Linked DNA regions of Saccharomyces cerevisiae S288C. The protein of the gene in region 1 purifies or fractionates together with the protein of each later gene. This does not show direct contact. Each region holds a gene or a part of one and is shown in the gene's direction. Other genes may lie near its edges.

The links.
Region 2: the proteins of YVH1 (region 1) and NMD3 purify together in Saccharomyces cerevisiae (affinity purification with western blotting; 7 studies listed by BioGRID, with this or other methods). This does not show direct contact.
Region 3: the proteins of YVH1 (region 1) and REI1 purify together in Saccharomyces cerevisiae (affinity purification with western blotting; 2 studies listed by BioGRID, with this or other methods). This does not show direct contact.

Annotation. Positions count from the first base shown.
Region 1 is NC_001141.2:404,323-407,803, reverse strand, and holds YVH1 (tyrosine protein phosphatase YVH1), read left to right. Parts: upstream 1-1,836; coding exon 1,837-2,931; downstream 2,932-3,481. Other genes in the region: DAL1 (allantoinase), read left to right, coding at 162-1,544; MND2 (Mnd2p), read right to left, coding at 3,039-3,481. UniProt on the Saccharomyces cerevisiae protein: May be directly involved in signal transduction and/or cell cycle regulation. It is necessary for maintaining growth rate or spore germination. Could show both activity toward tyrosine-protein phosphate as well as with serine-protein phosphate.
Region 2 is NC_001140.6:442,066-446,040, forward strand, and holds NMD3 (ribosome-binding protein NMD3), read left to right. Parts: upstream 1-1,762; coding exon 1,763-3,319; downstream 3,320-3,975. Other genes in the region: ATP-dependent RNA helicase DBP8, read left to right, coding at 116-1,411; ATG7 (Atg7p), read left to right, coding at 3,648-3,975. UniProt on the Saccharomyces cerevisiae protein: Acts as an adapter for the XPO1/CRM1-mediated export of the 60S ribosomal subunit. Unlikely to play a significant role in nonsense-mediated mRNA decay (NMD).
Region 3 is NC_001134.8:737,913-741,678, forward strand, and holds REI1 (Rei1p), read left to right. Parts: upstream 1-1,928; coding exon 1,929-3,110; downstream 3,111-3,766. Other genes in the region: Rab family GTPase YPT10, read right to left, coding at 1-457; TSC10 (3-dehydrosphinganine reductase), read left to right, coding at 670-1,632; SLM6 (Slm6p), read right to left, coding at 2,024-2,476; mitochondrial 54S ribosomal protein mL54 MRPL37, read left to right, coding at 3,387-3,704. UniProt on the Saccharomyces cerevisiae protein: Pre-60S-associated factor involved in the cytoplasmic maturation of the 60S subunit. Involved in the dissociation and recycling of other late pre-60S factors like ARX1, TIF6 and ALB1 before newly synthesized large ribosomal subunits enter translation.

The DNA of each region.
Region 1 (3,481 bases):
GGGGACAATGATGAGGTAACGCAAAAGTGATGAGTTTCTACTGGTATCTTGTAATTGAAGGTACCCCTTTTTCTTTTAGCTATCTTTAATTAGGTTAGAAAAGTGTATATTTCGCAAAAACGTATAGGCAAAAAAAAAGTGAAATACTGCGAAGAACAAAGATGCCTATCAATGCCATCACTTCCGACCATGTCATTATCAATGGTGCAAATAAACCTGCGACTATTGTGTATTCGACCGAATCAGGCACGATTCTGGATGTTTTAGAAGGCTCCGTGGTTATGGAGAAAACTGAGATAACCAAATATGAAATACATACGCTGGAGAACGTATCTCCATGTACAATTCTGCCTGGACTTGTGGACTCTCATGTTCACTTGAACGAGCCCGGTAGGACTAGCTGGGAAGGATTCGAAACTGGAACTCAAGCTGCTATTAGTGGCGGGGTCACAACGGTGGTTGATATGCCGCTAAATGCTATTCCTCCCACAACAAATGTGGAGAATTTCCGAATTAAATTGGAAGCTGCTGAGGGCCAAATGTGGTGCGATGTTGGGTTTTGGGGTGGACTGGTACCACACAACTTGCCAGACTTAATTCCGCTTGTCAAAGCTGGCGTTCGCGGGTTCAAAGGATTCTTGCTTGATTCTGGTGTGGAAGAATTCCCTCCAATTGGCAAAGAATATATAGAAGAAGCCTTGAAGGTCTTAGCCGAGGAGGATACCATGATGATGTTTCATGCTGAGTTGCCCAAGGCACATGAGGACCAACAGCAACCCGAGCAAAGCCATCGTGAATATTCTTCGTTTTTGTCCTCGAGGCCGGATTCTTTCGAAATAGACGCCATCAATTTGATTCTCGAATGCTTGAGAGCCAGAAATGGACCAGTTCCTCCTGTACATATAGTTCATCTGGCATCAATGAAAGCAATTCCCTTGATCAGAAAGGCACGTGCGTCAGGGCTACCAGTCACAACAGAGACTTGTTTCCACTATTTGTGTATTGCTGCAGAGCAGATCCCAGACGGAGCCACCTACTTTAAATGTTGTCCACCCATCCGCTCTGAGTCTAATCGCCAAGGCCTATGGGACGCTTTGCGTGAAGGTGTTATAGGCTCAGTAGTGAGCGACCATTCGCCATGCACCCCTGAGTTGAAGAACTTGCAAAAAGGTGACTTTTTCGATTCTTGGGGAGGAATCGCTTCCGTCGGACTAGGTTTGCCATTGATGTTTACCCAAGGCTGCTCTTTGGTCGATATCGTTACATGGTGCTGTAAAAATACATCCCATCAGGTAGGACTATCTCACCAAAAAGGCACTATAGCTCCCGGGTACGATGCTGATTTGGTGGTATTTGATACTGCAAGTAAACATAAAATAAGTAATTCAAGTGTCTACTTCAAAAACAAATTGACTGCCTACAACGGGATGACGGTCAAGGGCACAGTTTTGAAAACCATATTAAGAGGCCAGGTGGTATATACGAATGCCAACGGAGTCTCGAAAACACCATTGGGTCAAACTTTGCTTGATTCTAGACGTTAAACTAAAGTTGCAAATTTTTATTAAAGAAATTCTATAGAAATAAAAGAAACAAATTTATAAAAAGTTATTTACACACATACATATATTAACCACTCTTAGTTTGAGATGACACAACTTTTAATGATCTACAATATATCCATCTGGGTCTCCACGGCTGCAATTTTGAAATTTTCTTAGCGCTAAAAAAAAGAAATCTAACTGAAAAAAAAAATTATACCTCAGCTCATCGAATGCATCTAATACAGGTATAACGCAGAGAAAGCAGTAAAAGCAGCAAGAAATTACAGGGAAGATGGCTGGAAATGCAAACTCAGTAGACGAGGAAGTTACCAGGATATTAGGAGGCATATATCTTGGCGGAATCCGTCCAATTATTGACCACAGACCATTGGGTGCAGAATTTAACATTACTCATATTCTTTCTGTTATCAAATTCCAGGTCATTCCAGAGTATCTAATAAGGAAAGGTTACACGCTAAAAAACATACCCATCGATGATGATGATGTGACTGATGTGCTGCAATACTTCGATGAAACGAACCGATTCATTGATCAATGCTTGTTCCCCAATGAAGTTGAGTATTCGCCCAGATTAGTAGATTTCAAGAAGAAACCACAACGTGGTGCTGTTTTTGCTCATTGTCAAGCAGGACTCTCGAGATCTGTAACCTTCATAGTAGCCTACCTAATGTATCGTTATGGATTGTCACTATCAATGGCTATGCACGCTGTCAAGAGGAAGAAACCGAGTGTTGAGCCAAACGAGAATTTCATGGAACAATTACATCTCTTTGAGAAAATGGGTGGAGATTTTGTCGATTTCGACAACCCAGCCTATAAGCAGTGGAAGCTGAAGCAATCTATCAAGTTAGATCCATCGGGCAGCGAATTGGTCTCCAATTCTGGAATGTTTAAAGATTCGGAGTCGTCGCAAGACTTGGATAAATTAACTGAAGCTGAGAAGAGCAAGGTCACCGCAGTGAGATGTAAGAAGTGCAGAACCAAATTGGCGTTATCTACATCTTTCATCGCGCATGACCCACCAAGTAAGGAATCATCAGAGGGACACTTCATCAAGAGGGCCGCCAACTCCCATCGTATTATTGATATTCAAGAGTCACAAGCAAATTGCTCTCATTTTTTCATCGAACCTTTAAAATGGATGCAACCTGAACTACAAGGCAAGCAAGAGTTAGAAGGGAAGTTTTCATGTCCAGGCTGTTCAAGTAAAGTTGGCGGTTACAACTGGAAAGGATCTAGGTGCAGTTGTGGTAAGTGGGTCATCCCCGCTATCCACCTGCAAACTAGTAAAGTGGATCAATTTCCCTTACAATCCACTGCTTTGCCCAACATGGTTAATTTTGAATCCGAGAAAGTAAATAGATAACTTAGATATAATCAGCAAATATAACTACCACTAAGCACTTTTGGTGCACTTGTGTATGTATACATCTTAATAGATAGATGAATTTTGGTGCTGAGGAGAGCATTTTTCTAATCTTGACCTCGTTGCTGCCTGGCTCGTCTCTCCATTAATTCATCTAAACTAGTTATCCTCTCCCTAGTCCAATTCCTCCAATTACTCGCTAGATCAGGTGTAATCCCACCATAAGAAGTCGGCTCTTGGCTGTATTCGCTATTATAATCATGCTCTCTTCCCACGTCATCTTCAAAATCCGGATTCATGTCCAGTTCTACCTTTGAATCTTCTCCGTCGTTATCACTGTCAATATCATATGGGTTTCTATCTAAATGATGAGCCTCTTCCACAAACTGTTGTAGGGAGCGTGACAGTGAAGTGGGTCTCATTAATAAGTCATCCGGCACAATTCTCTCTCTCTGAACTTCTATACCTTCCACACCTTCCCCCGGCACTTCTCCCTCCTCATTATCATCCTCATCTACAACATGATCGAACTCTGCATCATAATCGTATG
Region 2 (3,975 bases), on another chromosome or scaffold:
AAATATAAACTGGCAATTTACTTAGTTTTTGAATAAATAATTGTATAGGAATATTATCAGTCGTATAATACAGACGCTTTAGATCTCCGTAGCATCATATCAGAAACTTTTCAAGATGGCAGACTTTAAATCTTTAGGTCTTTCAAAATGGCTTACGGAATCCTTAAGAGCTATGAAAATTACTCAGCCAACCGCTATCCAAAAGGCTTGTATTCCCAAAATCTTAGAAGGAAGAGATTGTATTGGTGGTGCCAAGACTGGTTCTGGTAAAACTATTGCATTTGCAGGGCCTATGCTGACTAAATGGTCCGAAGATCCGTCAGGGATGTTTGGAGTGGTCTTGACCCCAACCAGAGAGTTAGCCATGCAAATTGCCGAACAATTTACTGCACTTGGTAGCAGTATGAACATTCGCGTGTCAGTTATAGTTGGTGGTGAAAGCATCGTTCAGCAGGCATTGGATTTACAAAGGAAGCCGCACTTTATTATTGCCACGCCTGGACGTCTGGCACATCATATCATGAGCAGCGGAGATGATACCGTTGGAGGGCTAATGAGAGCTAAATATTTAGTTCTAGATGAAGCCGATATTTTGCTAACTAGCACGTTTGCCGATCATTTAGCAACATGTATAAGTGCTCTACCTCCCAAGGATAAGAGACAAACACTTCTATTCACTGCAACTATAACGGACCAAGTAAAGTCGTTACAAAATGCACCAGTGCAGAAAGGGAAACCCCCATTGTTCGCTTACCAAGTAGAAAGTGTAGATAATGTGGCTATTCCATCGACGTTGAAAATAGAGTATATCTTGGTTCCAGAACACGTCAAAGAAGCATATTTGTACCAATTATTAACATGCGAGGAATATGAGAATAAAACCGCTATAATATTTGTAAATAGAACAATGACCGCGGAGATCCTTAGAAGAACCCTGAAGCAGTTGGAAGTGAGGGTAGCGTCGTTGCACTCTCAAATGCCCCAACAGGAAAGAACAAATTCCTTACATAGATTTCGAGCTAACGCTGCAAGAATCCTCATCGCTACAGATGTAGCATCCAGAGGTTTGGATATCCCAACTGTTGAGCTTGTAGTGAATTACGATATACCTTCAGACCCAGATGTATTCATCCATAGATCTGGTCGTACGGCCCGTGCTGGCAGAATTGGTGACGCCATATCATTCGTTACCCAGCGAGATGTTTCTAGGATACAGGCCATTGAGGACCGTATCAACAAGAAGATGACAGAGACAAACAAGGTACACGATACCGCTGTAATAAGAAAAGCCTTGACCAAGGTAACCAAGGCGAAGAGGGAATCGCTGATGGCAATGCAAAAGGAAAACTTCGGTGAGAGAAAAAGACAGCAAAAGAAGAAGCAAAATGACGGGAAAAGTTTGCGCTCTTGAAAAATTCTAAATAAGATTTAAAGACGTACATATCGTACAATCTGGATACTGTTTTCCAGGACAACTGATAGATACAATTTTGGCACATATGAAGTATGTTTCTATATAACGGGTGAGAAAATCGCTGTAAATTCAATTACGTACAATCACCGACGGGTAACTTATTTTTTTTTCTTTTTCTCTTGTAGTTGGAAAATTTTTTGAAGCTCATCGCATTGGAAAAGAAAAATTACTAGCAGTTGTGATGATTTAACTATGTTTTGAGGAACCTTGGCTTTATCTTTTATTTGTCGCCTGGTACATAACACTACATTTTATTGTCTAATAAACGTTGAGGAATTTGACAAAAGGATGGAATTCACACCTATAGATCCGCACCAGCACCAAAATGCTGCTACTCTTCTATGTTGTAACTGTGGTACCCCAATCGATGGGTCCACTGGGCTGGTTATGTGTTATGACTGTATCAAACTGACTGTGGACATTACTCAAGGTATTCCAAGAGAAGCGAACATTTCATTTTGCAGAAACTGTGAAAGATTTTTGCAACCACCTGGACAATGGATCAGAGCAGAATTAGAATCTAGAGAATTACTGGCCATTTGTTTGCGTCGTTTGAAGGGCCTAACAAAAGTCAGATTAGTGGATGCTTCATTCATTTGGACAGAACCCCATTCTAGACGTATTAGAATTAAACTTACCGTGCAGGGAGAAGCCATGACAAATACTATTATTCAGCAAACTTTCGAAGTAGAATACATTGTTATTGCGATGCAATGTCCAGACTGTGCCAGATCCTACACTACAAATACTTGGAGGGCTACTGTCCAAATTAGACAAAAAGTGCCTCACAAGAGAACATTTTTGTTTTTGGAACAACTGATTTTGAAACATAATGCTCATGTGGATACCATTTCCATTAGTGAAGCTAAGGACGGGTTGGATTTCTTCTATGCGCAAAAAAACCACGCAGTTAAGATGATTGATTTTTTGAACGCTGTTGTTCCGATTAAACATAAAAAGTCTGAAGAACTTATTTCTCAAGATACACATACTGGTGCATCTACTTATAAATTTTCATATTCTGTCGAGATTGTTCCTATCTGTAAAGATGACTTGGTCGTTTTACCAAAAAAACTGGCTAAATCTATGGGTAACATTTCTCAATTTGTTCTATGTTCTAAGATTTCTAACACTGTCCAGTTTATGGATCCGACTACTTTGCAAACCGCGGATCTGTCACCATCTGTGTACTGGAGGGCTCCATTCAACGCCCTGGCTGATGTGACCCAGTTGGTGGAGTTCATTGTTCTGGACGTGGATTCTACAGGTATAAGCAGGGGAAATCGTGTCTTAGCTGACATTACTGTTGCTAGAACGTCTGACTTGGGTGTTAATGACCAAGTCTACTACGTCAGGTCTCATCTCGGTGGTATTTGCCATGCAGGTGATAGTGTTATGGGTTATTTCATTGCAAACTCGAATTACAACTCAGATCTTTTTGATGGGTTAAATATCGATTATGTGCCTGATGTAGTTCTTGTGAAGAAATTGTATCAAAGAAAGAGCAAAAAGAGCAGACACTGGAAGTTAAAGAGAATGGCTAAGGAACACAAAGATATCGATGCATCCTTAGATTACAATTCAAGAGCTCAAAAGCAAGAAATGGAACGTGCAGAAAAGGACTACGAATTATTCTTACAAGAATTAGAAGAGGATGCTGAATTAAGACAAAGTGTTAACCTATACAAAAACCGCGAAGCAAATGTACCTCCTGAAGAGCATGAAATGGATGAAGACGAGGATGAAGACGCTCCACAAATCAACATTGATGAATTATTGGACGAGTTAGATGAAATGACATTAGAAGATGGAGTCGAGAACACACCCGTTGAATCTCAGCAGTAAAAAAACACCAAAGAATGGAGAGTAGTATATACTCTTAACAAACACTAGCATTTCAGTTTATCTATATACATATATATGGATGTAAAATGTACTTTATGGAAGAACAAGCCACCACATGTTGAAAACTAGATAGGCAAGCAAGATTTTTCATTTGTAGAGCTCTTACGCAAGATTTTTAAACTTCCGCTTTTTTAATCCATGAGATTCCTTTGGACACCCTTTCCGGCACGGCAAAACAAAAAAATTAAGGGAACTCATTATTTTACGATGCTACTTAGATAACTAAAGTTCATTATATTTCAACAAATATAAGATAATCAAGAATAAAATGTCGTCAGAAAGGGTCTTAAGTTATGCACCAGCTTTTAAATCATTTCTGGATACATCTTTTTTCCAAGAATTATCGAGATTGAAACTCGATGTTCTGAAATTAGATTCAACATGCCAACCACTTACTGTGAATCTAGATTTACACAACATTCCTAAATCTGCTGATCAAGTTCCATTATTCTTAACAAATAGAAGCTTTGAAAAACACAATAATAAGCGTACTAATGAAGTGCCTTTACAGGGCAGTATTTTCAATTTTAATGTATTAGACGAGTTTAAGAATCTTGATAAGCAACTATTTTTACATCAAAGAGCATTGGAATGCT
Region 3 (3,766 bases), on another chromosome or scaffold:
TCTTTGCACTTACGGCCACATACGGCAGACCCTGTAACTCCGCCGGTATAGTCACTTCCCCTGAATGCTCTTCGCAGACTAAATCGTACTTATTGCCCACGATAATTACCTGCGTTCCCTGAGCACGGTCCTGTAAATCTTGAAACCATGTCTTTGCACATTGCAGACTGGATACGTCTCCCAATTCGAATACAATCAAAGCAATATTCGCATCTCGATAATACATTGGCACCAGTGATTTATACCGTTCCTGACCCGCCGTGTCCCATATCTCCATATGGATACGTTTCTCCGTAGAGGAGTCGTTAGAAGGAACCTCGATTGTCTTGGTGATGAACGCCGCACCTATCGTAGCCGCATGTTTTGCTAGAAACTTACCTGATTTGAGCCTAGTCACTATACTGGTTTTCCCCACTGATGAATCTCCTAGCAGTACCACTTTGATGGTTGCTTCCATATCGTATTCCTCCGTATTTTGTGCTACTTGTATTTCCTGGAGTAATTTTACTATCATTGTTCCTTAACGTGAAACGTAAGGCTAAAAAACAATAAACGACAAAAAAAAAACAAAAAAATGAAAAATGCAGAGGAGTTTCTCTGCATTTACTGGAAGCGATTAAATAAGATTGCCTCAAGAAAAGAAGTTATCGGTATAATCTTTTGTAGGTAATGAAGTTTACGTTAGAAGACCAAGTTGTGTTGATCACTGGTGGTTCACAAGGTCTTGGAAAGGAATTCGCCAAAAAATATTATAATGAGGCTGAAAACACAAAGATTATTATCGTCAGTAGGTCAGAGGCTAGACTGCTGGACACATGCAACGAAATTAGGATTGAAGCTCACCTGAGAAGGGAAACCACTGACGAGGGCCAAGTGCAACATAAGTTGGCTGCGCCCTTGGACCTTGAGCAACGGTTATTTTACTACCCATGCGACTTGTCCTGCTACGAATCCGTGGAATGTTTGTTCAATGCCCTGAGAGACTTGGATTTACTCCCTACACAAACGTTATGCTGTGCAGGGGGGGCTGTTCCTAAGTTATTTCGTGGGCTAAGCGGACATGAGTTGAACTTGGGTATGGACATCAACTATAAAACAACTTTGAACGTGGCACATCAGATTGCCCTTGCAGAGCAAACCAAGGAACACCACCTCATCATCTTTTCTAGTGCCACCGCGCTTTACCCATTTGTGGGCTATTCCCAGTATGCGCCTGCAAAAGCTGCAATCAAATCACTGGTAGCAATCTTAAGACAAGAACTGACGAACTTCCGTATCAGTTGTGTTTATCCTGGTAATTTTGAAAGCGAAGGTTTCACTGTAGAGCAGCTAACGAAACCCGAAATTACAAAGTTGATCGAAGGCCCCTCAGACGCTATCCCATGCAAACAAGCATGTGATATCATTGCCAAGTCGCTGGCCAGAGGTGATGATGACGTTTTTACAGATTTTGTCGGATGGATGATAATGGGGATGGACCTTGGGCTCACCGCAAAGAAAAGCCGCTTTGTTCCGTTGCAATGGATTTTTGGTGTCCTATCAAACATTCTGGTCGTGCCATTCTACATGGTTGGCTGTTCCTGGTATATCAGGAAATGGTTTCGTGAAAATGACGGCAAGAAGGCCAACTGAGAGCACATCCACTCTCATTCCCGATATTCCCCGTGACTCTCTTTATTTCTTTCAAGACAAACCCTAGTGGTGTAGCTATTTGTACATGTATAAGTATATACGAAATATTAATTATAACATTATTACCACGGCGATATTTTCCTATTTTTATTCTCTTTTCTTACTATATTTTGAAAGTTTTTCTTATGGGTACCGATGCGATGAGGTGAAAAAAATTTTCCTCTTTCCACTTTTAGTACAGGTTATGAGATGCTTCTCATTAGAAGTCAAGAAGAGAGCATATCAGTAACAATACGATGAGTAGCAGTGGTGTTTATACGTGTAATTCATGTGTCCTGACCTTTGATTCAAGCGACGAGCAGCGGGCCCACATGAAGTCCGATTGGCATCGCTACAATTTGAAAAGACGTGTTGCACAATTGCCACCAATATCATTTGAGACATTTGACTCCAAAGTGTCTGCAGCTGCTGCCAGTACTAGTAAGTCTGCTGAAAAGGAGAAACCTGTTACCAAAAAGGAGTTGAAAAGAAGGGAAAAGCAAGCATTGCTCGAAAAGAAAAAGAAACTGTTGGAAATTGCCAGGGCTAATATGCTTGAAAACATGCAAAAGAGCCAAGAGGGAAATACTCCCGACCTAAGCAAGCTCTCTTTGCAAGAAAATGAGGAGAACAAGGAAAAGGAAGAACCTAAGAAGGAGGAGCCTGAACAGTTGACCGAGGAAGAAATGGCGGAAAGAGTAATGCAAGAAAAGCTACGCAACAGAGTCGATATTCCACTGGAACAATGTCTATTTTGTGAGCACAATAAGCACTTCAAAGATGTTGAAGAAAACCTGGAACACATGTTTAGGACCCACGGGTTTTATATCCCAGAACAGAAATATCTAGTCGACAAGATCGGCTTGGTAAAATACATGTCGGAGAAGATTGGTCTTGGGAACATTTGTATTGTTTGTAATTACCAGGGGAGAACGTTGACCGCTGTAAGACAGCACATGTTGGCAAAGAGACACTGTAAAATTCCCTACGAAAGCGAGGATGAAAGGTTGGAGATATCTGAATTCTACGATTTTACAAGCTCATACGCAAACTTTAATAGCAACACAACACCAGACAACGAAGATGACTGGGAAGACGTGGGCAGCGACGAAGCCGGAAGCGACGACGAAGATCTGCCACAAGAGTACTTATATAACGATGGTATAGAGCTGCATCTACCGACAGGCATCAAAGTTGGCCACAGGTCCTTGCAAAGATACTACAAGCAAGACTTAAAGCCCGAGGTGATACTGACCGAAGGCCAAGGTACCCTGGTCGCTGCAGAGACGAGATCGTTCTTACCTGCCTTCGACAAAAAGGGCGTGCAGACTCAACAGCGTGTTTGGCAAACTGAGAGGTTCGACAAGAAAAGGCTCGATAAGAGAAGTGCCAAGTTCGTCAATAACCAACCACACTACAGAGACCAACTTCTGCAGTAATTCTTTTTGCACTACTTTTTTTAGTATTTTGTCGCATATATACTGCTTCACCATTTGTACATTAGATAATTCTTCACTACCCCCTCTATAGCAATGTTATAGTCATTGAATCATGCTTTGAAATGCCTGTTCTAATATTCTCTTCATATAATAAATGCGTGATGCCGGGTATTTGTGCGCCCTTGTTTGGCGCAAAAATCTCGAAAGTGAAAAAACTAATAGGCTTCTTAAAGCAGTTATATCTACAGCAAAGGAAATAGCTGCTGAAGACTGAAGATGTTGGCGCGCAGTTTGGGTTACAGGTTGATATCGACCAGTCGTATCTTATATAATAAACCCACGGTTAAGTCAGTGGTGTCGTCGTGTCCTGCGGGAACATCGCTTAACTTAAACATATGGAAGAGCGGTAAAGACGCAGTGGCACTCGAGGACAAGGAGTATCCAAATTGGTTATGGAGCGTATTGGATAGTGATCACGTTGTCGAACATGCGGCTGAGGACCCAGAGGGACAGGCTCTCTTAAAGAGAAGAAAGAACATAAGGAAGGCGAACAGGCAGCGAATCAAGCAAAACAATTTCTTGAGCCAACTTTAAGCCTCCGTTAATAAGATCAAGTTTGGTATCCTTGTAAATAAATATGTGTGTACGTGGTTAAA